4 linked regions of the Canis lupus familiaris genome follow. The protein of the gene in region 2 interacts with the protein of the main gene of each other region in a biochemical or structural test. Links are inferred from orthologs where the notes say so. Each region holds a gene or a part of one and is shown on either strand. Other genes may lie near its edges. The genes, in order: GDF2, ACVR2A, SYNJ2BP and BMP2.

Region 1 (3,908 bases), on a different chromosome or scaffold from region 2:
ACAGAGATGTGCTGGTGGCTGCGTGCCAGCTAGGAGAAGTTGGAAACTGAGACACTTGGGTAGCTACAGGGTACGCCCCATTGATGACTAACGTGACAAAGCAGGTGAGGCGAATCTCTTTCATTTTTTTCCCCCAATTAAAAAAAAAATTCAGTTTCACTTTGCTTGGAAATTAGAGTTCTGAATAATTTCTTTGCTGTTTAAATTGCTGAGATTTTTAACATTGTGTTAATGCTGGAAATTTGCCATCCCCGCCCAGGGCGGCTCCTCCCACGTCACACGCTTGCGATTCCCACTCTGAGGCTGACGGTATGCTTTGCTGCGCTGCTTATTTGGTACTTTCTTTTAATGTGAGGAGCTTAACAGGATGTGCGCGCTTGGCAGTTAAACAGCCCAAATGCCAGTCTCCACATCTGTAAAAATGGGAAATAATTAGACCGTCCCAGGGCCCGTGCGGAGAGCAAAGTGACACAGAGAATGCAGAGCTCCTAGTGCGATGCTGGGCACCTAGTAGGTGCTCCCTGAAGGGCGGACCTGTCAACTCCAATGCAAGGCACCTCCTGCCTCTGGTTTTCTGGAAGATCCTAAATGTCTTTTAAATCCTTCTACACGAAGGGCCTAAGTGAAACCAAATAAAGATTTGATAGAGTTGGTCAGTGGCATCCTGGATGCCCTTTGACCCAAGTCACAAGTCTCAGCTTTGGTGTCATGAAAGGTGACCTTGACTGTGCCCTTGCATTTCAGATGCTGTCTCCATCATGGCCACAGAGGACTTCCCCTTCCAGAAGCACATCTTGCTCTTCAACGTCTCCATTCCTAGGCATGAGCAGATCACCAGGGCCGAGCTCCGACTCTACGTCTCCTGCCAAGGTCACGGAGCCGCTTCTCGTGAACTGAGAGGCAACATGGCTATTTATGACGTTCTGGATGGAGCAGATGCCTGGGATGCTTCCGCAGGCACCAAGACGTTCCTCGTGTCCCAGGACATCTCGGATGAGGGCTGGGAGACCTTCGAGGTGTCCAGCGCTGTGAAGCGGTGGGTCAGAGCAGACTCCACCAAGAGCAAAAACAAACTGGAAGTGACTGTGGAGAGTCACAGGAAGGGCTGCGACAAGCTGGATATCAGTGTCCCCCCGGGCTCCAAAAACCTGCCCTTCTTTGTTGTCTTCTCCAACGACCGCAGCAATGGGACCAAGGAGACCAGGCTGGAGCTCAGGGAGATGATCAGCCACGAACAGGACAGCGTGCTCACGAAGTGGTCCAAGAACAGTCCAGCAGGGGCGGGTGACCGCAAGGCCGAGGGGGGCGGGGAAGGTCACATGGCCACAGGGTCCTCGTTAGCCAGACGAAAGAGGAGTGCCGGAGCCAACAACCACTGTCAGAAGACCTCCCTGCGGGTGAACTTCGAGGACATCGGCTGGGATAGCTGGATCATTGCACCCAAGGAGTACGACGCTTACGAATGTAAAGGCGGCTGCTTCTTCCCCTTGGCTGACGACATGACCCCAACAAAACACGCCATCGTGCAGACTCTGGTGCATCTCAAATTCCCCATGAAGGTGGGCAAGGCCTGCTGCGTGCCCACCAAACTGAGCCCCATCTCCATCCTCTACAAGGATGACATGGGGGTCCCCACTCTCAAGTACCACTACGAAGGGATGAGTGTGGCAGAGTGTGGGTGCAGGTAGTGCCGGCCTCGGGCGGGGGGACAGGGTGGACGGGCCCCGTTTCCCTCTGGGCATGCCAGCCTGAAGGAGGGAAGGGGGCGGCCACGTCCAGGAGGTGATGGCCTGCCCACCCCAGGCGTCCACCACTGGGTCCATTCGCATGGGACAGCAGTGGCCGGGGCCAGGGCAGCGGCGGGGGAGAGGAGGAGAGCCCGGAAGGATCATTGGGGTGCAAGGGGGGAGAAGAAAAAAGAGGCCGAGAGGAAAGCAATCCAGGGTTAGCAGAAAATAGCAGAAACGAGGCAGGGGGCTGGACAGATGAGGTGCAGAGATTGGTGGGGCTTAAAGGAGGCGGGAAGGACGGGGCACATTCCCACAACTCAGGGGGTGCGGGCCCGGAGAGCCACGTGCTCTACACCCCTCGTTTCGAGCCTCCCTGCAACCCGGCGAGGTGGGGCTCACGAGCAACCAAAACACAGGCATTTCAAGCCACACCGGCCATGGAGATGGGGTCCAACCCTCGGTCTGCACAGATCCGTCATTCCCCGGGGCCCAGGACCCTCTCAGGTACCCCATCAAAGGGTATCAGGTCACCTCACAGCTAAAGAAAATTAGACGCTGGAGGCGGGCAGCGGGGCCGAGCTGCACTGAGCCCCAGCCAGTGCCCACCAGGCTGGCCGGGCCGCTGGAGCGTCCAGCACGTTCTGACGGGCGCCGGGCTGCACCGGGGGCCCGGGGCTTTCTCAGATGCGCCTCGAGTCCCTGGGCAACCATCCCCCAGAGCAGCTGCAGGAGGGATGGAGTGCACGACAGGCGCCCGAGGCTGCGTACACACGGCGGCCGGGGGGCCGGGGGCGGGGAGGGGGGACGGGGGACGGGGCGGGACCGGGGCCGTGGGACAGCGCATTCAGCTGGCAGTGCGGGCCACTGCCCAGCACGGGGTCCCCGGGTGTGCGCGGCCCAAGCAGCTCACCAGCACGACGCCCCGGGGCCTGGATTGGAGTTGGTCGGAATAAATGTGCTCTTGCCTTGGTGGCTGCGATGTCCCTTTTAGTCCTCTCGCCCAGCCGGGCCTTCCCGGCCCCCGCCGCCCCCGCCGGCTTCCCTGAGCTGCACGGCCCCGGCCCCGGCCCCGGCCCCGGCCCCAGGACCCGACTCGGCCCGCTGACCTCGGGGAGGACGGGGTTTCCTGGGAGCCCTGAGGGCCGCGGCCGGAGCAGAGCCCGTCGCAGGCCCCGCCACCTGGCCTTCCCCGCGGGTGGAAGCTCCTAGCATATTAAAAAAAAAAAAAAAAAAAAAAAACAGATTTATGTTAGTTTACATGGAACCAACGGAGAGCTTTAACAGAATTCAAATTCATTAATTTAAATACAATTAACTACCGAATTGTAGAAAATACTAACTCCTGGTGAGACCGGATGAGGAATTAGTCCCGGCGGCACAATCCTGCGACTGCATCAAAGCTTCACTCGGAAATAAAGTCGAGTGTGTCCGCGGTGGACTCCCCTGATCAGAGGCCTCATGGCCCCCGGACACCGCGCCCAGGCCACCCCTGCCCCTGGGCCCTCCCCTCCCTGAGGACAGAGCCTCAGGTGGATGCAGAGGGCAGCGTCTCCGTTGCGGGGGGCCCGGGAGATGTCCATGGAAGGGCCTGCGTGGTGCCCGCGGGCCCAGAGGTTGGAGCCAGAGCCGCCCCCGCTCCAGCCCCAGCCCGGCTCCCTCGGTCCTCGGCCTGCCCTCAGGCCCCGCTCCACCGCAGCCCAGTCACCTTCCCTGAAGGCCCGGCTCCGGTGGCACCCCTCAGCCTCCCCCCGCCCCGCCGCAGCCTGGCCCCGACCTCCCCACCCTGAGGAGCACGACCGTGCTTCTGTCCTGTGGCTGTTGTGGGCTTGGCGTGGGGACCTGCCAGCCTCTGCTCGTGAGCCGCCCACGCCACCAGGTCCTCCGGGGACGAGGCCTGCGAGCCTGCAGCCTGGTCACACTCGGGGCCCAGGTTCAGGGCAACGGGGCCCGGACCACGTGCTGGGAAAAGAATCTGCGGGAGCGCCCCCCAGGTGCTGCTTGGCGTCCATGTCCCCACGGATGTTTCTGGGGGATCACCCCAGCAGAGCTCATCCCCCGATGCGGTACTGAGCCCTCCGCTTCTACTACCGCGCTTGCGGGTGGGGGGTTGTCAGCATCACACGTAGGGAGGCACTGTCCCCTGCTCCTCATGTCACCCACCCCCGGGCGCAGAGCGGG
Region 2 (6,122 bases):
TCTGTCTTGTTCCTCTTCTGGTTTTGATGTTCCAGTAGATGGTATCTGAATCTGATCACAGACTACACTTAAGAGATTCTGACTGTAGGAAACAAAGCGTGTCACATCCATCACTTGTTAGCCAAAGTTCAGCTGAGTCCCAGAAGATCCACAGTGCTGCCAATTCCCCCTCCAAAGGCACATAGACTCACTCACAGAAACACACACGGGCACGGGCGTGCACACACCCGGCACTGCCTACCTATCTGAGGTCAAAGAAATGCACATAATTACTTTATTTCCATTTCTTATTTCATCAAATATATGGACCAGGCTGCTCCAGTTCCCACAGAAACCCAAATTCCTCAACTTAGTCAGTGCAACTCAAACACCACAATAGCTGCATCATTCTAGGTAGGAGAGACCTAAGTGCTAGAGCAAGTATTAAACTCATAGTTTAACAAATGGTGAAGAAAGACACAAATTAGCCACACTGCTTTAAAAACAAACAAACAAATCCAATAAATCGATTTGTGTTTTGAAACAGAATCTGAGGAAGGATAAAAAGAATGGAAAAAATGCAAATACAAAAGGAATCTGAAGGCATCTGAGGAATAGAACAAAACTCAAAAATGTTTCCCCTGGAATTACATTAAGAAATTACATACTTGGCCATATCCTACAGGAATAGTCTGCAAAATCAGTCTCCTATATACTATGCCATGGGATGGAAACTGAAAAATCAAAGTCTGCAAAATACTAAAAAAAAAAAAAAAAAAAAAAAAAAAAAAAAGAAAGAAGCATCCACCCTAAAAATCTGATAAACAGCTCTTTATTACTATTTTTCATTTGCTTAAAAAAATTAAATATCCAGAAACAAAAAAAAAATGACAACTTGAGAAATTTTTTAATTCTCATAAAAATAGCCATCCTCATGCTTCCAGCATGCCAGATTACATATTACCTAGGAAAATCAATTAGGAAAGGAAACACAATAATCTTTTAGAGTGCATTTGATTCATAACAAAAGCCTTTTAAAAAATCAGATATTTTAAGTACTAAATATCTTTATACATAAATATGGATTAAAGTCTTTAAGATGATTTCAATTATCTTCAACAGAATTATATTTTAGTTCAACTAGGAATTATTTGGGGAAAAAAAACTATGCAACAATATTCAGCACCGGTTTTATGTAATTCTATGTGCTATACATATCTATATGCTCTGTAAGCAAGAAAATTACTGTATTTCAGAATTTTAGCTATTAACCTCCTGGCCCACTGAAAATAATCCTACAAGAAACTAACGCTCAATTCTTTTTGCTTCTAAACCAAGCAGAGGAGGCTGTAAGATCTGTAAGCGACAGCCTGCTTTTCCAGAAGTAATACCTTGAGACTGCTTAAGAATAACCCCCTTCACCAATTATTGTGACTCAGGTGGGTTTGGGAGGGAATAATGTCCACAATTCCTTGGTCAGTGGCCATGATGCCCCTCCTCCTCAAGGGCAGGAGATCAGAGAAAGGGATTTGAACATGAGGAGTTCACCAACCAGAACATACAGGAACCAGGAGAGAGAGAGAGTACTACGGGGAAAATAAAAACTGCATAGTTAAGTCATGTCACAAAAGCGAGAGGTTTAATGTTATCAAGGTATTCATTCATTTCGGAGACACCATTGTTTATCTTCCTCCCCAAGCCCTGCACAAAAAGAACTGTCAGCCTGCCTTAAGCATGTTCCTTCTTCCATTTAAACAGACATGATTCTTTGGTTAATCTCTGGCAATGATCGCCATTTCACAACACATTTAGCCCACCCGGAACTGATCAATACCACTACAGACATAAGACTAGACTTTATCCATTTATTAACCACAAGGAAATGTACCATTCAGCAAAATTCTATACGTTACAAAGGATTCTATTAGAAGAGGGGGCTGGGAGGACGGACGGACACACACACACACACACACACACACACAGCACAGAGGTACACAAAGAAAAGACTAACACCCTCTAATTTCCCTGCAGCAAACGAGATAAAGACGTGGCCGTGAAACCTGTCAATTCGTCCCCCCCTCCCCCCCCGCCTCCAATAATTCTCTCCCACAACCTGGTACCCGAATATTGAATTTTATGATCACCAGATCCACTGCGACTTCAAAAGTGTTCCATCCATCAAACTAAACTCTCCTGCGACGTACGTGTGCACACCTTGGAGCTGGGCTGCGTTCGTTTACCGAACCCCAAACACAAAAGACTAGTTTCCCAACCACTGGTTGCAAAGGCGTACAACGTCCAAGCAAAAATCACAACGTCGGATGCAGGAGGGACCAGGTCGCCCCCTCCAAACCTCGGGCCACAACCCACGCCAGGACCGCAACGTCTCTGACGAGCGCGAACCATCTCGAATGGCTGCTCTATAGACCGAAAACAATGCCTCGATACACCGCGCGTTAAGAGAAGTCCCCCGTAGGTGAGCGGAATCTGTGCCAGCCGAGAGCACGCAGACATGGTGGTGAGGGCCAGCGCTCCGCCAGCGCCCGGCCGCGCTCCGCTCCGCGCCGCGGTATTGTGAACACCCGGGCCACAGCAGCTACAACTATTTTTAACGCGGCTGGACGCCGAAGTTGAGGAGACCGTGAGGCGGGCGGGCGGGCGGGCGAGGGGGGTGGGGGGGACCCCGATGACACCGCCGCCGCGCCGCATTGTTTCTCGCCGTCCGGAGCGAGCGGGCGAACGGGCGAACGGGCGGGCGAACGGGCGAACGGGCGGGCGGGCGACGGCCGGCTGGACGCCCGTCGTGACGGCCACCGCGGAAGCGCTGGTTACGAGACAATCAAACCCAGAACAAAACGCGCCGCTCCGGGGTGGGGGGGAGGCAGGCCACGCGACACGCCGCTCCGGGGGGCGCCTTTCGGGGCTCGAACCCGCGGCCCCGGCTGTCACTCGCGCCGCTTGTGGCTTAACCGCCCCCCTCCCCCCCCCCGCCCCAGGCAGCGCTGTCACCCGGGGCGAGGGCCACGGAGCGTGACTTTCCCAGTCGCACGGCCGAGCCGTCCGTCTCCTCAGCCCGCCGGCCCGGCTCCGAGCGGGAGACGCTGACAGAGATTTCCGGGGCACGGTCGGGGCTGAGGTGGGGGGTCGCGCGGGGTCGCGGCCCAGGGCGCCGGGGGGCGGGTGTGCGCGCGTGTGTGCGCGCGTGTGTCCGTGCGCGCGCGTGTGTGTGTGTGTGTGTGTGTGTGTGTGTGGAGCTCCCCAGGCCGCCGCCGCCGCAGCCCCGCCGCGCTCGCTCCACGCACCTACCTGAAGAGCAGGAGATAAGAAACACGGCGAACGCCAACTTCGCAGCAGCTCCCATTTTCCGAGGCGCCGGGGGATCCGCAGCAAGTTCTCGCTAGAGAGCCCGTTCCCTGGTCTTCCTCGGAGACAAACCTCCTGGTGTGAAATCAACCGTCATAAAACATATTCGGAAGCCCCCGACCAAAAAGAAAAATAAAAAAAAATAAAAAACGAAAAAGGTTCACGGGGTTAAGAAAAAAAAAAAAAGGAAAAAATAAAAGAGCACAATAATGCTATATATTAAAAAAAAAAAAAAAAGGAAAAATGCACCACGGGGAAGGGGTGGGGGGAGAAAAACCGCCACACACACGCACGACACACAAAACCAAACAACGAAAAGGCAACAACAACAAAAGCGGGTTTAAATCACTGTCAAAATCGCTGTCAGCGCCGCTCGCCTGTCGGGGCTCTCGGAACAAAACGCCAGGCGGAGGCGCCGAGGCGGCGGCGGGGCGGCGGGGAGCCCGAGCCGCCCGGACAGTCCGGGAGCCGAGCCGGGTCCGACGTCCGGACCGACCTTCAACCCGGACACCCAAAGTCCGCGGACCGCTGGCGGCCGGGCTGGCGGCCGTGGCGGCCCGGGCGGCGGGGACGGCGCGGCGGCGGCGGGGACGGCGGCGGGGACGGCGGCGCAGGCGGCGGCGCAAGCGGCGGCCAAGTTCTGGTCCAGGCTCTGGCTCCGGCTCCGGGCTCCGGGCTCGGCCGCGTTTTCGGTCCCCTGGCCTCCGCCGGCCCCGCCCCCCACACTTCCGGTTCCGGCCCGAAGCTGGAAGCCAGGCGCGGCGGAGGAACGCTCGGCCGCGGCGGCGGCGGCGGCGGCGGCGGGGACGGGGACGGGGACGGGGACGGGGACGGGGACGGCGGGGCGGCGGGCGCAGCGCGCGTGCCGGGCCGGGAGCGCGAGGAGATGGTCGGGGAGGCGAGGCGAGGCGGGCGCGGGGAGGGGCGCGCGCGAGGGCGGGGCGGGCCGGAGGGCGGGGGCGGGGCGGGGCGGACGGAGGCGCGTTCCCGCGAGGCCTGTGCGTCCGGCCTGCGCGGCCTGCGGGGCTGCGGGGGCTGCGGGGCCCGGGCGGGCGGGACGCGGGGCGCGGGGAGCCGCGGAGCCCCTGCCGTGCCCTGCCCTGCCCTGCCCTGCCCCGCGCTGCCCCAGGGGACGCCGCGTCCGCGGAGCCGCCCGGCCGACCCGGTGCGCGCGGGCTGCAGGCGCGGCCCGGCCCCAGCCCCAGCCCCCGGCGCCCGAGCGCTCAGTGCCGCGGCCGAGCCACCGGGCCGGGCGTGCACGCGGGGCGGGGGGCAGCCGAGCGCCGCCCGGGATCGCGCGGGGTCCGCTCCGCACCCGGCGGGGTCGCGGCTGCCTCTTTCTTTCCTTGCATCTTTTTCTTTCTTTCTTTCTTCTTTCTCTTTTTTTTTCCTTAAATTTTCACGCCCCCTAAGCCAGGTGGATCGCTCGCACGGGGCCGGGCCGGGCTCGGATCGCGACTCCGAACGCAGGACCAGCGTCCCCCCTCGCGGAGCCCGCGGCGGCGGCGGGTTCGAGCCCCGCGGACGCCGGGACCCGACCCGACCCGACCCGACCGACCCGACCCGACCCGACCCGGGGCCGCCCGGCCCTGCCTGCGGCGTTCTAGCGTGAGCTCCGCAAACCGTTTTATTTTTTTAATGATAAAGAGTCATAAACCGTACTGCGTGTGGCTAACTCCTCTGTTTCACTGGTGCTTTACCGATCCCCACGTTTTTCCCACAAAGCCAAGCCTCCTCCCATGTATGTACACAGTGGTTTTTTTTTTTCCCCTTCCTCTAAATTACTCAATATCGCTATCTATGAAGCTCATCCTGTAATTATCTGCCCATTTCTACGACTTGTCAGGGTCATTAGTAATGACTGTGACTCTTAAACTCCCTCCAAGATCTCCAAGTCCTCACGTCGTGGTGCTCAGAATTTGGTTTTCTGTTTGTTTGTGCTCAGAATTTGTTTTTGTTTTTTTTTTTTATTTGTTTTTTTTGTGAGGTTTTTTTGTGTGTTTTGTTTTGTTGATTTTTTTTGGTTTTGTTTGTTGGTTTTGTTTTGTTTTTGTTTTTTTTTGTTTGTTTGTTTGTTTTGGTGCTCAGAATTGGACTGATGTTGTGCAACAGTTAAGAAAAAGTCCCCAGTGGGTCTTCAAGGTGTCTAAATGGTCCCATATTATGTAATTCTCTGGACCTTATGAGCTGCTCAGAGGAATAAATATAAACATTCTTCCATTCTCTACTTGCACTGTTTCCACTAATGTTTCTGGAATGGAAGAGCGTATTTAGTGCATTCAGGAATTTTTCTGTGGGTTATACCCTGGATCAGGCCTCCCTGTTGTCTTATCTCTGCATCACTTCCATATTTCGCAGATTGTGAAACCACAGAGAGTGGAATAACTGGAATAACCAGTAATAGGACTAAAACACACACACACAAAAAAATTATATTCCTTATCTTACCACCTAAATTTGCCAGTAGAAGAATTTTAAGAGAAGAAGGAAATTATTTTTTCTCTGTCGCATAAAAGGGGAGCAACAAGTCAGAGTCCTCGCTGAACTATTCTTATAAAGAGTTTAGCCCCCCCCCAGAAGTTATTAATATCCAGTAACAGTAGTTACCTATTTTGTTCCTAAAATCCCCCATCTTCTGTATATTTTTAAAAATTCAAAAATAATTTAACTTAAGACGTGAGAGTATGTGACTAACTCCCACTGGAATTCTAAAGCTTGAAAACTAGACAGAGGTAGCTGCAGCTAACCCTACTGCCCCTCTTTTTCCTATTTCTAGAATC
Region 3 (5,374 bases), on a different chromosome or scaffold from region 2:
ATGCCTAACCAACTGAGCCACCCAGGTTATCCCAAACTCATTTTCTTTGACGATTAATAATTTTGAATTGCCTCAAGAGCTCTAACTATAGAATAACATCGATATCGATATAAATGCATAAGATGTAGAAAAGGAATGGACTTAATTTAATAAGCATTGACCACTCTGGATATTTTAATTTTTTGCCAAGATCCTGAAATGAATCACAATGAGGGAAGGGGGGGGCTCTTTTTTCATCAGAGTTGAAGAGGGAAAAAAATAGATTATCTAGTTCTAATTAATCAGACCAAACCAAAAAAGTCCGTTATGCTATGATGCATTCACAGAGCAACTAACCTACTGCATACATACTCTGTGCCAGCTACAAACATATAGGCAGGGGGGATCCTAAGCTGGGGATACTGAGCTAGGAGGACAAAGTGCCTCTAGGCATCCTTTGTCTAAAGGATTCCGCATATTCCAATGTCTTTGCAGCCAAGCAGATGAGGGGTTCTGGTGGGTCTTTCCCACTGATTTCTAAGCTATGTGTGAAGGTGAGTGTTTCATTTTTCAAATCATTCCAGAGCACCTGGCATGGTGCTCTGCAGGCTGTCAAGTATAACAGCTATAAATGCTGAGGACTACTCAGCTCTTTCATTCACCAAGTTAAGAATTACACTTGATGAAAACATGAAATGTGGCTGACTAGTGGCCTGATCTGTGCCATTTTGTTATATAAAGGGTTTGGTCAAAAGGGAATATTCATCTATTCAGTGTAATAATTAGCTCATATCACCCTGAACTTCATAAAAATGCAGCATTCACTGAGCATGGACTGTTCTTAACTATCCACCTCCCATCATTTAGGCAGGCACACAACGGAAATGACAAACCTAAGCAGTTTACATTTTTTTCCCCTCAAAAATAAAATCTTTCCCTTGTAACCTATACAAATATTAAATTGCCCTAACCATCACATACAAAATAAACTCTGGGTGAGGAATCTCCATCTCCAGCCCTCATCTCAACTTCAGGTCCTTCTATTAGTAATACCTGTTTTTGTTTTATGGTTGTCAGATGCAATAGGGCCTTAAAAATAATTTATGTTAAAGGAATTTCTTTTCTTCCTCCCCCTCCCATTTTTTTAAGTTTAAACATTCCACAGAGGTCACAAAAAAATGTAATTTAACTTTTAATGAGCAAGAGGGAATTGCATAAGTCATGCAATTATTTAGTTTTACTTGAAATTAAGACAAAACACGGGCATTATTTCAAGAGAAATGGAAAGATTAATTTATTAGTCAATACTAACTCTAGGAAATCTAGATCACTAAATAAGATTTGTATTAGTTATCCAAAATGGATGTGCCAAGGAAGTAACATATTCTTAGTTTGATTATCTAGCAAAAGTTAAAAGAAAGAGCTGGGGCATATTTTACAACATGGAAAAATAGCCTATGTGAAGAGAACAGAAAAACCCATAAAGAATCAAGGAGAATATAAGCTAATAAACAGTTCAGCACCATCATTTTACAGAGACTCCACAGCCAGTATTAGAGCACTTAGTTAAATCAGAGGGAGAGTGAGTTACAAAGGAGACATAACCATTTAATGGTTAATGCCCAATGAGTTCACTTAAGGAGAGAGTGGAAAAGACAGTGAGAAGGTGAGAGAGGCAGTATTTCTTAGGAAAAGGATCTAGAAAGAATTATGTTGGAGCAAACTCTTGATAGGGAGACTGGAGTCATAAATAAGATAGCCCTAGAAAGAAAGAAAGAAGAGAATATGCTGGCCTTCTCCTCTTGTATATGCTCCATCTTTTTCTCTTCAGTCTTCTTTCTTTCTCTTCCTATCTGTTTTACAACTTTTGTCAGGCATTTCCTCCCTCTCTTCTTTCCCATATCTTAATTGTCCAAAACATAAACTTGAATCATTCCTTGTTATATGTCCTATATATATTTGTAATATTTAATATATTGTATAGGTCTTTGTAATATTTCTCATATTTGTTTTACTTTAATAAAGTAAAATCCTGTTTGGTGTAAATTTCAAGGTGAAGAGAGCAGTTTTTTTGACATTTACTTTTTGCTCCATGGACATCCATCTCCTACCATACTCTCTAAAAAAAAAAAAAAAAAACTTGAGTGCCTTCCAATAATTTCTTTTCTCTATGAGGCAATGGTCCACATAAGAAAGGCTGCTCATCTTAGCTTATGTTTAATAAATTCTCTCATACTGAGCTAAATGACCTTTTCCCTCCAATTATACCCTTAAAGACTGATTTGTTTTTATATAAAACCATACAAAATATCTATTAATTAACCATACAACCTTCTGTTTAGATACCTAGTCCTAGCTCCTCATTTACTTCTTAGGAGGCAGTACAGCATACTGATTAAGAGTAGGGGCTCCAAATTCAGACAGATCAGTTTTAGTCCTCTGCCACCTACCAGTTGTGTGACCTTGGGCAAGCTGTTTGACCTCACCAAGACTCAGCTTCCTTAGCAGCAAAGTAGTTATAATAATTGTACTCACCTCATAGGGTTACCACAATATTAAACAAACGTAAAGTTCTCAGCATATTGCTTAGCATATGGTGCTCAAAAACTTCTAACCATTCTCATATAATCTACCCTTTACCAAACCTTTTTGAATAATATGGCTGTCCTCTGAACCCCTATACTTTTCAAATGTAACCCAGGCCCCAGTATTCTGGAGAGAATGTGTTATATGTCACTATGAACTGCATAATTTCTGCCTACATGCTATACCATTAACAACCCACTCTTAAATTTTCCTTAATGTTCCACTCAAGTTGATTTCATGTTTTTAGGAGGTCTTTCTCCAGGGAGCTAATATGAAATAATCTACTTGTAAACCTCACAGTATCATTTTGAGATAAAAGGTATTTATCACTGTTTGTATCTTTCAAATTAATAAACAGGATCTAGGAGAAGGTTAATGGTCTGAAAAGAGGCAAAATAGCTGGTGAGAAGGACAAAAATAGGCTATTACTATCCAAAATACTATATTTATATTCTGGATCAGCCAATCTTTCTGGGCTTGCCTGAATTTCTTAACTTGTTCATTTGTTAAATATATATTGAGCATTGCAAGGATGTAAAAGGTTAAAAAAAAGATCTAGTCCCTGCCCTTGAGAAACTTTTAGAAAAGAATCAAATCAAAGCTCACCATATAGTAAGTGTCTTATTACAAACATTAGCTGAATGAAATGGGAGCACAATGGACAGATACCCAAATGAGAATGCATTCAAATTTTTCATCTTCATGACGGGTGAGAAGGGATTTGAGTCTAAAAAGGAAGCTTAATTTCTACCTTCCTTTTTTGTTTCTTTGGAGTAAAGGAAGACACACATTAATCTTTCAATGAAAGGGAGGTGATAAAGTATAACTGAAAAAGGACAATTGTGGGTTTTAAGTCTCTTTCCCCTACATCAGCCCCTCAACCTTTCCTATTCCCTGTTTTTTGAACTTGGTTAAAGTAGCTTCACATTCTGGACTGAAGATGCCTTGTCTATCAAGTAAGGAATTATCCTCTTTGCTCTATGTTTGGGCAGGAAAAGGTGACTGATCAAGGTCCCTCCCACCATATTCTACAATCCAGATATTTCCAGATCCAAAAAGGCAGGCAGAAATCTTCCCAAGGAAAGGGCTAAGGGTAAGAACTGGGGTCTAGGGAGCAAGAAACAGTGAAGGAGGCCGAAGCCAGTTCTCACCGAGAGGATCTTATCACCCTCCTGGAGCCGCCCATCCAGGGCCGCAGCCCCATTCTCTTTGATGCGGCTGACGTAGATGCCACTGTCGTTGGAGACATACTGCTGATCTGTCCCACCGACGATGTTGAAGCCCAGCCCTGAGAAAATCATGGAGGAGTTGTGAAGGAGATAGTGATGAAGTAGAAAGGGATTAGAGAAGAAAGAGAAAGAGGAGAGGCCTAGTGAGGAGGGGAGGCTGGTGAGTCAAACTGTGATGTAACTGGTCAATAGACACAGGCAAGGTTAGTGAAGAGGATCATCAACAGAGGTCAAGAGTACCCAGAGTTGCCCACTTAGGCCAGGCAAGATTAAAAATACAAACACAGAGATCAACATAGTCTGTTTAGTATAAAAAGAAAGATCTATATTCTAAACTCAGTAAAAGAATAACAGTGATTCTTGTAAGATGTACTTCTGTTCATATTCAATTCTGATTCTGCTGGTGGCATTTAAAGGACCCAATTCTTGACTTTCCTGCTATTAATGTAACAGGGTGAGTTCATAAGAAGCAAATGAACTATCTTTAATTTAGTGGAAGAGAGTTTCCTAATCAAAGTTTCCCCTTCATAGTTCCCTTCTCCCAACATTCAGGACAGTTTGCATATGGAGGTGTTTTGGAAAAAAATGGTCTTAGGAGTTTAATTTATTTTTCTATTTTGAGTGTAGGTGTTGGCAGGAATCCTGGGAACTAGAAAGGCAACTGAGGCTTCATGATAGGACTAAACCACCAAATTTACTTTTTCCTTTTCTATGACCAGTGAAAACAACCATGCATTTGGGTAGTCTGTCAAGTTTTATTCACTGTAGGAAACCAGCTACCCACTGATTAGCAACTCTCCATTCCACCCCCACGCCTAAACCCCTGGCAACCACCCTTCTATTCTTTGCTTCTCTAAGTGACTAATTTAAGTGGGTATAAAATTTCAGTTATACACAATGAATAAGTTCTGGAGATCTGGTGTACAACATGGTGCCTATAGATAACAACAGTGTTATTGTACACTTAAAAATCTATTAAGAGAGTAGATCTCATTTAAGTGTTCTTACCATAACAACAAATTAAAAAAAAAAAAAGATGACTTGTAAAGTGTCATTTCTATGGACCAACCAACCAAGTTGTGGAATTTCACTATTCAAAAATCATTGTTATAAACAGAATTTATCTATGCATTAAAAAGAAAAGGAAAAAAAAAGGAACCTCCCTAGGGTTTTCTGTCAGACACTGTAGAATTCATAGCCATAATGCCAAGAGAAAAGAAACAGTTTGAAAATAAAAAACAAAAATCTGGGGGCACAATTAGAAGGAACAGCCATAATCACTAGCTTATTTATTGATTTCAATAGAAAACAGATACTTAAGGAGACATTTGTGGGCTTTCTAAAAAATTCTCCCCATTGATGGGATGAAAGCTTGTGTGTGAAGCTCACAGTATTAACATAAGTACTAGTAAATCAATCTGCAATGTAAGGAAGCACATGGCCAAAGGGAGAGAAGCAGTAGGAAACAACTCATTTAGGTAGCATACCTTGCATAAAGACTATCTAAGCCAGAGAACTAAAGTGGTTTAAGATACAAGATGGCGGGCAGCCCTGGTGGCGCAGCGGTTTAGCACCGCCTG
Region 4 (5,946 bases), on a different chromosome or scaffold from region 2:
CTCGCCCCCGCGCTCGCCCGGACCCTCGCCCCCGCCGCCCCGCCGCGGGTCCCGCGCTCCCCGCGCTCTCCCCCCGGAGCGCAGGGGCTGGATGCGCGAGCGCCCCCCTCGGCGGCCCCGCGGCCCCGCCCTCGGCCCCACCCCGCCGCGGCTGCCCCGGCGCGCCGTCCACACCCCTGCGCGCCGCTCCCGCTCCCGCTCCCGCTCCCGCTCCGGCTCCCGCCCGCTCGGGGATCCCCGGCGAGCCGCGCCGCCGAGGGGGAGGTGTCCGGCCTCCGCGGAGACGGAGGCTGCAGGCAGGCTGCGTCCCCTTTAAAAGCCGCGAGCGCCGCGCCACGGCGCCGCCGCCGGAGTCCTCGCCCCGCCGCCTGCGCCCGGCTCGCGCTGCGCCCGCCGCTCCGCTTCCCACACCCCGCCGGGGACTGGCAGCCGCCGCCGGACGCCCGCCGCCGCAGGCTGCGCCGCGACCCGCCGACCTCGCGGCCAGCGCGTCGCGGACTACGGGGGCTGCTCCGCCGCCGCCGCCGCCGCCGCCGCCGCCGCCGCCGCCGCGCGCCGCTCACCCCGCGCGGGCTGGAGCGCCCGGCCGAGCGCGCCCCTGCGCCGTGGCCTCGGCCGCCCGGGCCGCGCCGGAGCCGGGGAGCCGCGCGCACGGCGCCGCGCAGCCGCGAGCCCAGCCCGAGCGCCGCGATGCCGAGCCCGCGCCGCCCGAGCGTGGGGGCCCGCGACGCGCCGGCCGACGCGTGAGCGGACCCCGGGCCGGCCCCGGAGCGCAGCGCAGTCTGGCCCGGGGGCTGCCGCGAGGGGAGAGCGCGGCCGCGCGCCTCGGCCGCCCGGGACCCGCCTCGCCGCCTCGCCTCGCCTCGCCTCGCCTCGCCTCGCCGGAGAATGCGCCCGAGGACGCCGGGGCGCCGGAGCCGCGGGGCGATCGGCCGGCGGGCGCCGGCGGGGCTGCGCTGGAGCGAGGCCGAGTGATGCGGGGGCGCCCCCCGCCCGGCCCCGAGACCGCCGCTGCGCCCTTCCCCGCACCCGGCGTCGCCCAGGATGGCCGCCCCGAGCCACGGGCCGCGGCGGCGCTAGCGCGGAGGGAGCGCCCGACCCTCGGCCCCCGCGCCGGGCCCCGCGTCCCGCGGGCGCCGGTGCCTGAGGACGACGACGCACCGGCTTCTGCCCTGTCCCTTCCCTCGCCTGCCCCGTCCTCCTCCCCCTGCTCGCTGTTGTTGTGTGTCAGCACTTGGCTGGAGACTTGTTGAACTTGCAGGGAGAATAGCTTGCGCTCCCGCTTCGCGCCGGTGCCTTGGCCCCTGCGGAGCCGGCCTCGCCGCCCGGACCCCGCGCCCGGACCCCGCGCCCGGACCCCGCGCCCGCGCCGCCCCACTGCTCCGCGGGGCCAGACCCGGGGCCGCGGTGCCCGGCGGCGGGAGGAGGCGGCGGCGGCGGCGGCGGCGGCGGCCCGAGGGAACCGGGTCCCTGCGCCAGGTCCTTGGACCAGAGCTTTTTCCATGTGGAGGCTCTTTCAATGGACGTGCCCCCGCGTGCTTCTTAGACGGTCGGCGGTCTCCTAAAGGTAGGGGACGAGGGCCCCGGGCTGGGGTGGGGGTACGGGGTAGGGGGTAGGGGCGGGGCGCGGGGCGCGGGCGGCCGCCGAGGGCGAGCGGCTCCTGGGGCCGGGCCGGGCCGGGCGGACGTAAACAGACCCCCTCCGGGTCCACGTGCTGCCGAGCCCCTGCGGCGATGCCCCCACCAGACCGCCCCGGCGAGCCTGGCCCTCCCGGCTCGCGCTCTTCCGCCCCTCCTCCCTTCTCTCTTCTCAGTATTTTATTAGGGCTGTTAACACTTAGATGATTAAAAAAAAAAAAAAAAAAAACCTCGAAGAAGCCCAATCTAGAGGGTGGCCTCTGGATTTCACCCGTTAGTCGCCAACCTTTGCGCCCTGCCATGGCCATCTTCTCTCCCTTCTTCAAGTTTCTCAGGGAGACCTGCTCTCTACTCAGAGCCAAGTCCCATTTAGGAAAATACTAGAAGTTGGGGTTCTCCCTGTTTGTTGCCAGGAATGCGAGGGGGGCAGTACTTAAATGCCACCTTCTGGTGACACGTGACCGAATAGGTATTATTTATGTAACTGGAGGAATATGTATGTGTGTCTGGACTGCATGGGGCGGGGGTTCGGGGCTGGGGTGGCCCTGTCCTGACACCTCTGAGGTTAAAGGCGTGGGCCACAAGTTGCAAGTGGCTTCGGAAGTTGTGGCCCTGAGTTTACTGGGTCTGGAAGTCAGAGGGAGGGCGGGAGGGCGGGAGCGAGAGAGAGTGTGAGTGTATGTGTGTATCAGGAAGTTCTATACGGTGCCTGTAAGGAAGTCACATGCACCATCCGTGCGTGTTTATATGCAAGCCAGCGCTGGGCAATGTGTTTGGGTTTGTTTAGCGATCCGGGAGGTGTCAGACCAAGCGGTGGTTTCCCCAGGTTCCCTGCACGGGCTGTCAGCGCGAGTGTCACAGAAGAAAGGTGACAGTCTTGACGCTGGTGGGGTGTGTGTGTGTGTGTGCGCGCGCGCGCGCAAATCGTGCCGGATGGATGAGAGTGAGTTGGAAGGGGGGGGAGCCTTCAGGCTCAGGAACTAGGGGCTTTCCATTCTCCCAAACGTTCGAGCTTAAGACCTTTGAAGTATCCCCGCGAGTATTGCACACCAGGTGGGCACCCTGGAGGGGGAGGCAGCGGCCGGAGCGGGAGCCCCGGGACGCGAGGGCGGGGAGAGGATTGGGCGGGGAACTCGGTGACTCACGTCGGCCCTGTCCGCAGGTCGACCATGGTGGCCGGGACCCGCTGTCTTCTAGCGTTGCTGCTTCCCCAGGTCCTCCTGGGCGGCGCGGCCGGTCTCATTACGGAGCTGGGCCGGAGGAAGTTCGCGGCATCTCCTGGCCGCTCCCCGTCCCAGCCCTCGGACGAAGTCCTGAGCGAGTTCGAGTTGCGGCTGCTCAGCATGTTCGGCCTGAAGCGGAGACCCACCCCCAGCAGGGACGCCGTGGTGCCCCCCTACATGCTGGACCTGTACCGCCGGCACTCGGGCCAGCCGGGCGCACCGGCCCCGGACCACCGGCTGGAGAGGGCAGCCAGCCTGGCCAACACCGTGCGCAGCTTCCACCACGAAGGTGAGGCGTGGAGCAGAGCGTGGGGGCCGAGATGCGCGCGGAGAGTCCCCTCCAGAAGCTCCCCACTGTGGGCCGACTGTTGGCATCCCTGGGAAGGCAGTTCTTGCCTTTGTAAGAACCTTTCCGAACCGAACCTGGCTTTACCGCGCTGCCTGTGTGGCGAGGGAGCCAGGGATTCCCCTTTGGTCAATCTGCACCCTTTTCCTGGCCTGCAGCCAGGAGAGCGACTCCTCCTCCAGGAACTGGAGAGAAATCAAGTGATGGGGAAGATGAGGGCAAAAGGCATGCCCCTAGTCAGCTAAATGTGCAAGAATTTCATAGGGGAAGAATGAAAAGGAGGGGGGCAGATTGGGATCTCTTTATGTCTGTTTGGAAGCCCTTTTGCCCTGTAAATCTGTTTCTCCTGCTTCAGCTGGGGTTTCAGGCTAGACACAGCCAAGGACAGACTTTTCAGAGATACTATTGAAGAATCAAAGCCAGGGGCCCCAAAGTCTTTCTAATTTACAGTTGATCTGGGCCTGGTTTGGAAGATTTCGAATCCCTATCTAATCCCCGTGAGAGATCAATCCCACAATCAATCTTATTGTTTCCACAATGACTTTCTTGTTTTGTGCTTAAATCTGAGATGAACTCCCTCTTAGAGACAAGGCAAGCCTTCAGATAAAAGCTTTTGCAGCAGCTGCCTGATGGTTCTTTTTTTTTTTTTCTCCATGTGCATTGAAATGTGGATTTTTTTTTTTTCTTTTATGATACTGGATGTGGTTTTCCTAAGGTACGCTATTTCTGCTTGTTTCATTAGAACAGCATTTAGTGGATTTGAAATGTCCAAGAGAAGCTATTGACATCTGTTGTACCCAAGTTCTTGGATCAATTAGTCAAAAATTTTATGTTCCACTTTAGTTCTTTTTCTACACTTTTAAATACCCTTTTGGCTTAATGCATTCCAAATAGAGCACGGGTTTCATCAAGTTCTAGAGAAATCTCCAAAGCTGTGTATCACAGAGCAGTCACTTGTAGATTATTGGGGAATCGGGAGTGAAGTTCCCATTTTCTTGCCTTGCTTCGAGGTGGTAAATTTCAGGCAGAAATCTATTCTCTAACATAAACAAATAAGAACTGTTACAGCTACCTATTTTCTCTCAGTGTGAAGGGTGACTACACTTGTGAGAACAGCACTTAGTGTTGGGAAGAAGTCCTAAAGGCAGGTGGCGTAACCAAAGGTACTTCTTCATCAAAGCAGTTGTACACTGTGAAGGGACACGGGATTGATAACCCATTGATCGTAATCCATCATTTTCCAGCACATTTCCAAGTGAGGTGCTTTTTTGCAGTAGAGCTCCCATGAGAAAGCACAGAAGGCATCCTTCTACTCCTTCAGGATTCGTTCGCTGAGAAGCAGAAGTTGTCTGTTGTCATATGTAGAAATGTTTTCACTCCTATATGCTCTGTCAACATAATCTTGGAATGATTGTAGTAGATGCAGCTCATCATTCCCAGCTGATGCTGATAAGAATTATTTTTCTGGATAGAAAAGTAGCAAGAGCAGCTATTTCAGCCACCTCTCCTGGAAATTTAGCCTGGAACCACTCTTAATTATTTTAAAGGCTAGGAAGGTACTGTGTGTCTCTCATAACTTAAAGGAGGAACACTTAAGTCGTCTGACACCTAAAACATTCAGCTGCATGAGGATCCCGTCAGTGGAGTCTGTGTATTTCTCTTTCCTCTAGGAGTGGCTTGATCAAAACTAAACAGGCTACAAATTATTTGAGTGTGTTATTTTAACCTAAATAGCGTGCTTGAGTTTATAAGTCAGAATTTATAACTTTAAAAGTATGAAAGTTATGTGCAGAGCAGTAGAGAAATTATCAACCTGCTTAAAGTCAACTTACAGTAACGTCAGATCTCAGTGCAGTTAGATGATAGAAAAAGCCATGTAATTTTTGCCTCAAATTTCATCACATCCATTTCTGTTCTTGTTATGACTAGCATATCATTCTTAGGCCACATCATGCATATTTTGAAGACCGTTTCATTTTTGTGTAACCCAGGATTTGCTTTTTATAAAGATCCTTGTGCCATGCATGGCACTAAAAATCTTTTAATAAATCATGTGATTAAGGCAGCTAGCTTAAGACCAGAACTTGGCTCCTGCAGCCTTAATGGGCATGTGTTTGGTAGAGAACTAAGGGCCTGATTCCAAGAATTACCTGTTGTTGGTTTCATTTGTGGGTGGAATCTGGGTGATTTGGTGAAATTACAAGACCAGAGATACCATGGTTATCAGATAATCAACCACTGTGTGAAGATAATGGGACCGCATGGTAGGTGATCTGAAACAGAATGATCGGTTGTCATTTCTCCTATTAAACTTTGTCTAGTCTTCTGGACAGTACTTGTCCCTTAGGAGAACCCAAGTACTCCAACAGTTTTCTTCCTCCAGTCATTAAAAAGTTCTTTGGCCGCACATAGACCTTTCGCAGCTGCCACTGAGGAAAGAAAAATCACTCCTCCTCCTGGAAGGAGTGTTCTGTGCTTTGCTGTACTGAAAAACACCTTGAAATTGGTTGACTTCACCGGCCCTGCAAAAAGCCTTTATGTTCTCCTGTCAGAGTAGAATATAGAAGGACCATCTGTTTGCTCTCCAGACTCTGAAGGACACAGTCTTCGTTTTAATGAACAATGGAATTATTTGCCTCCCTGACTAAAGCCTTTGAATAGAAAATAACCCTTTTCCCACAAATGTAATTACCACGAAAATATCCGTATAATGGGAGAGTTCAAGAAGCAACTGATGCC

Evidence for each region.
Region 1: the proteins of ACVR2A (region 2) and GDF2 form a complex in vitro, tested with the Homo sapiens proteins (2 studies listed by BioGRID). The link is inferred for Canis lupus familiaris from reciprocal best matches to the Homo sapiens genes ACVR2A and GDF2.
Region 3: the proteins of ACVR2A (region 2) and SYNJ2BP form a complex in vitro, tested with the Homo sapiens proteins (2 studies listed by BioGRID and IntAct, with this or other methods). The link is inferred for Canis lupus familiaris from reciprocal best matches to the Homo sapiens genes ACVR2A and SYNJ2BP.
Region 4: the proteins of ACVR2A (region 2) and BMP2 form a complex in vitro, tested with the Homo sapiens proteins (3 studies listed by BioGRID and IntAct, with this or other methods). The link is inferred for Canis lupus familiaris from reciprocal best matches to the Homo sapiens genes ACVR2A and BMP2.

Annotation. Positions count from the first base shown.
Region 1 is NC_049225.1:35,876,420-35,880,327, reverse strand, and holds the end of GDF2 (growth/differentiation factor 2), read left to right. Parts: intron 1-744; coding exon 745-1,688; 3' UTR 1,689-2,506; downstream 2,507-3,908. UniProt on the Homo sapiens protein: Potent circulating inhibitor of angiogenesis. Signals through the type I activin receptor ACVRL1 but not other Alks. Signaling through SMAD1 in endothelial cells requires TGF-beta coreceptor endoglin/ENG.
Region 2 is NC_049240.1:51,289,517-51,295,638, reverse strand, and holds the start of ACVR2A (activin receptor type-2A), read right to left. Parts: upstream 3,852-6,122; 5' UTR 3,341-3,851; coding exon 3,286-3,340; intron 1-3,285. UniProt on the Homo sapiens protein: On ligand binding, forms a receptor complex consisting of two type II and two type I transmembrane serine/threonine kinases.
Region 3 is NC_049229.1:44,326,124-44,331,497, forward strand, and holds part of SYNJ2BP (synaptojanin-2-binding protein), read right to left. Parts: intron 3,854-5,374; coding exon 3,717-3,853; intron 1-3,716. UniProt on the Homo sapiens protein: Regulates endocytosis of activin type 2 receptor kinases through the Ral/RALBP1-dependent pathway and may be involved in suppression of activin-induced signal transduction.
Region 4 is NC_049245.1:15,657,535-15,663,480, reverse strand, and holds the start of BMP2 (bone morphogenetic protein 2), read left to right. Parts: upstream 1-2,330; 5' UTR 2,331-2,405; coding exon 2,406-2,506; intron 2,507-2,800; coding exon 2,801-3,150; intron 3,151-5,946. UniProt on the Homo sapiens protein: Growth factor of the TGF-beta superfamily that plays essential roles in many developmental processes, including cardiogenesis, neurogenesis, and osteogenesis. Induces cartilage and bone formation.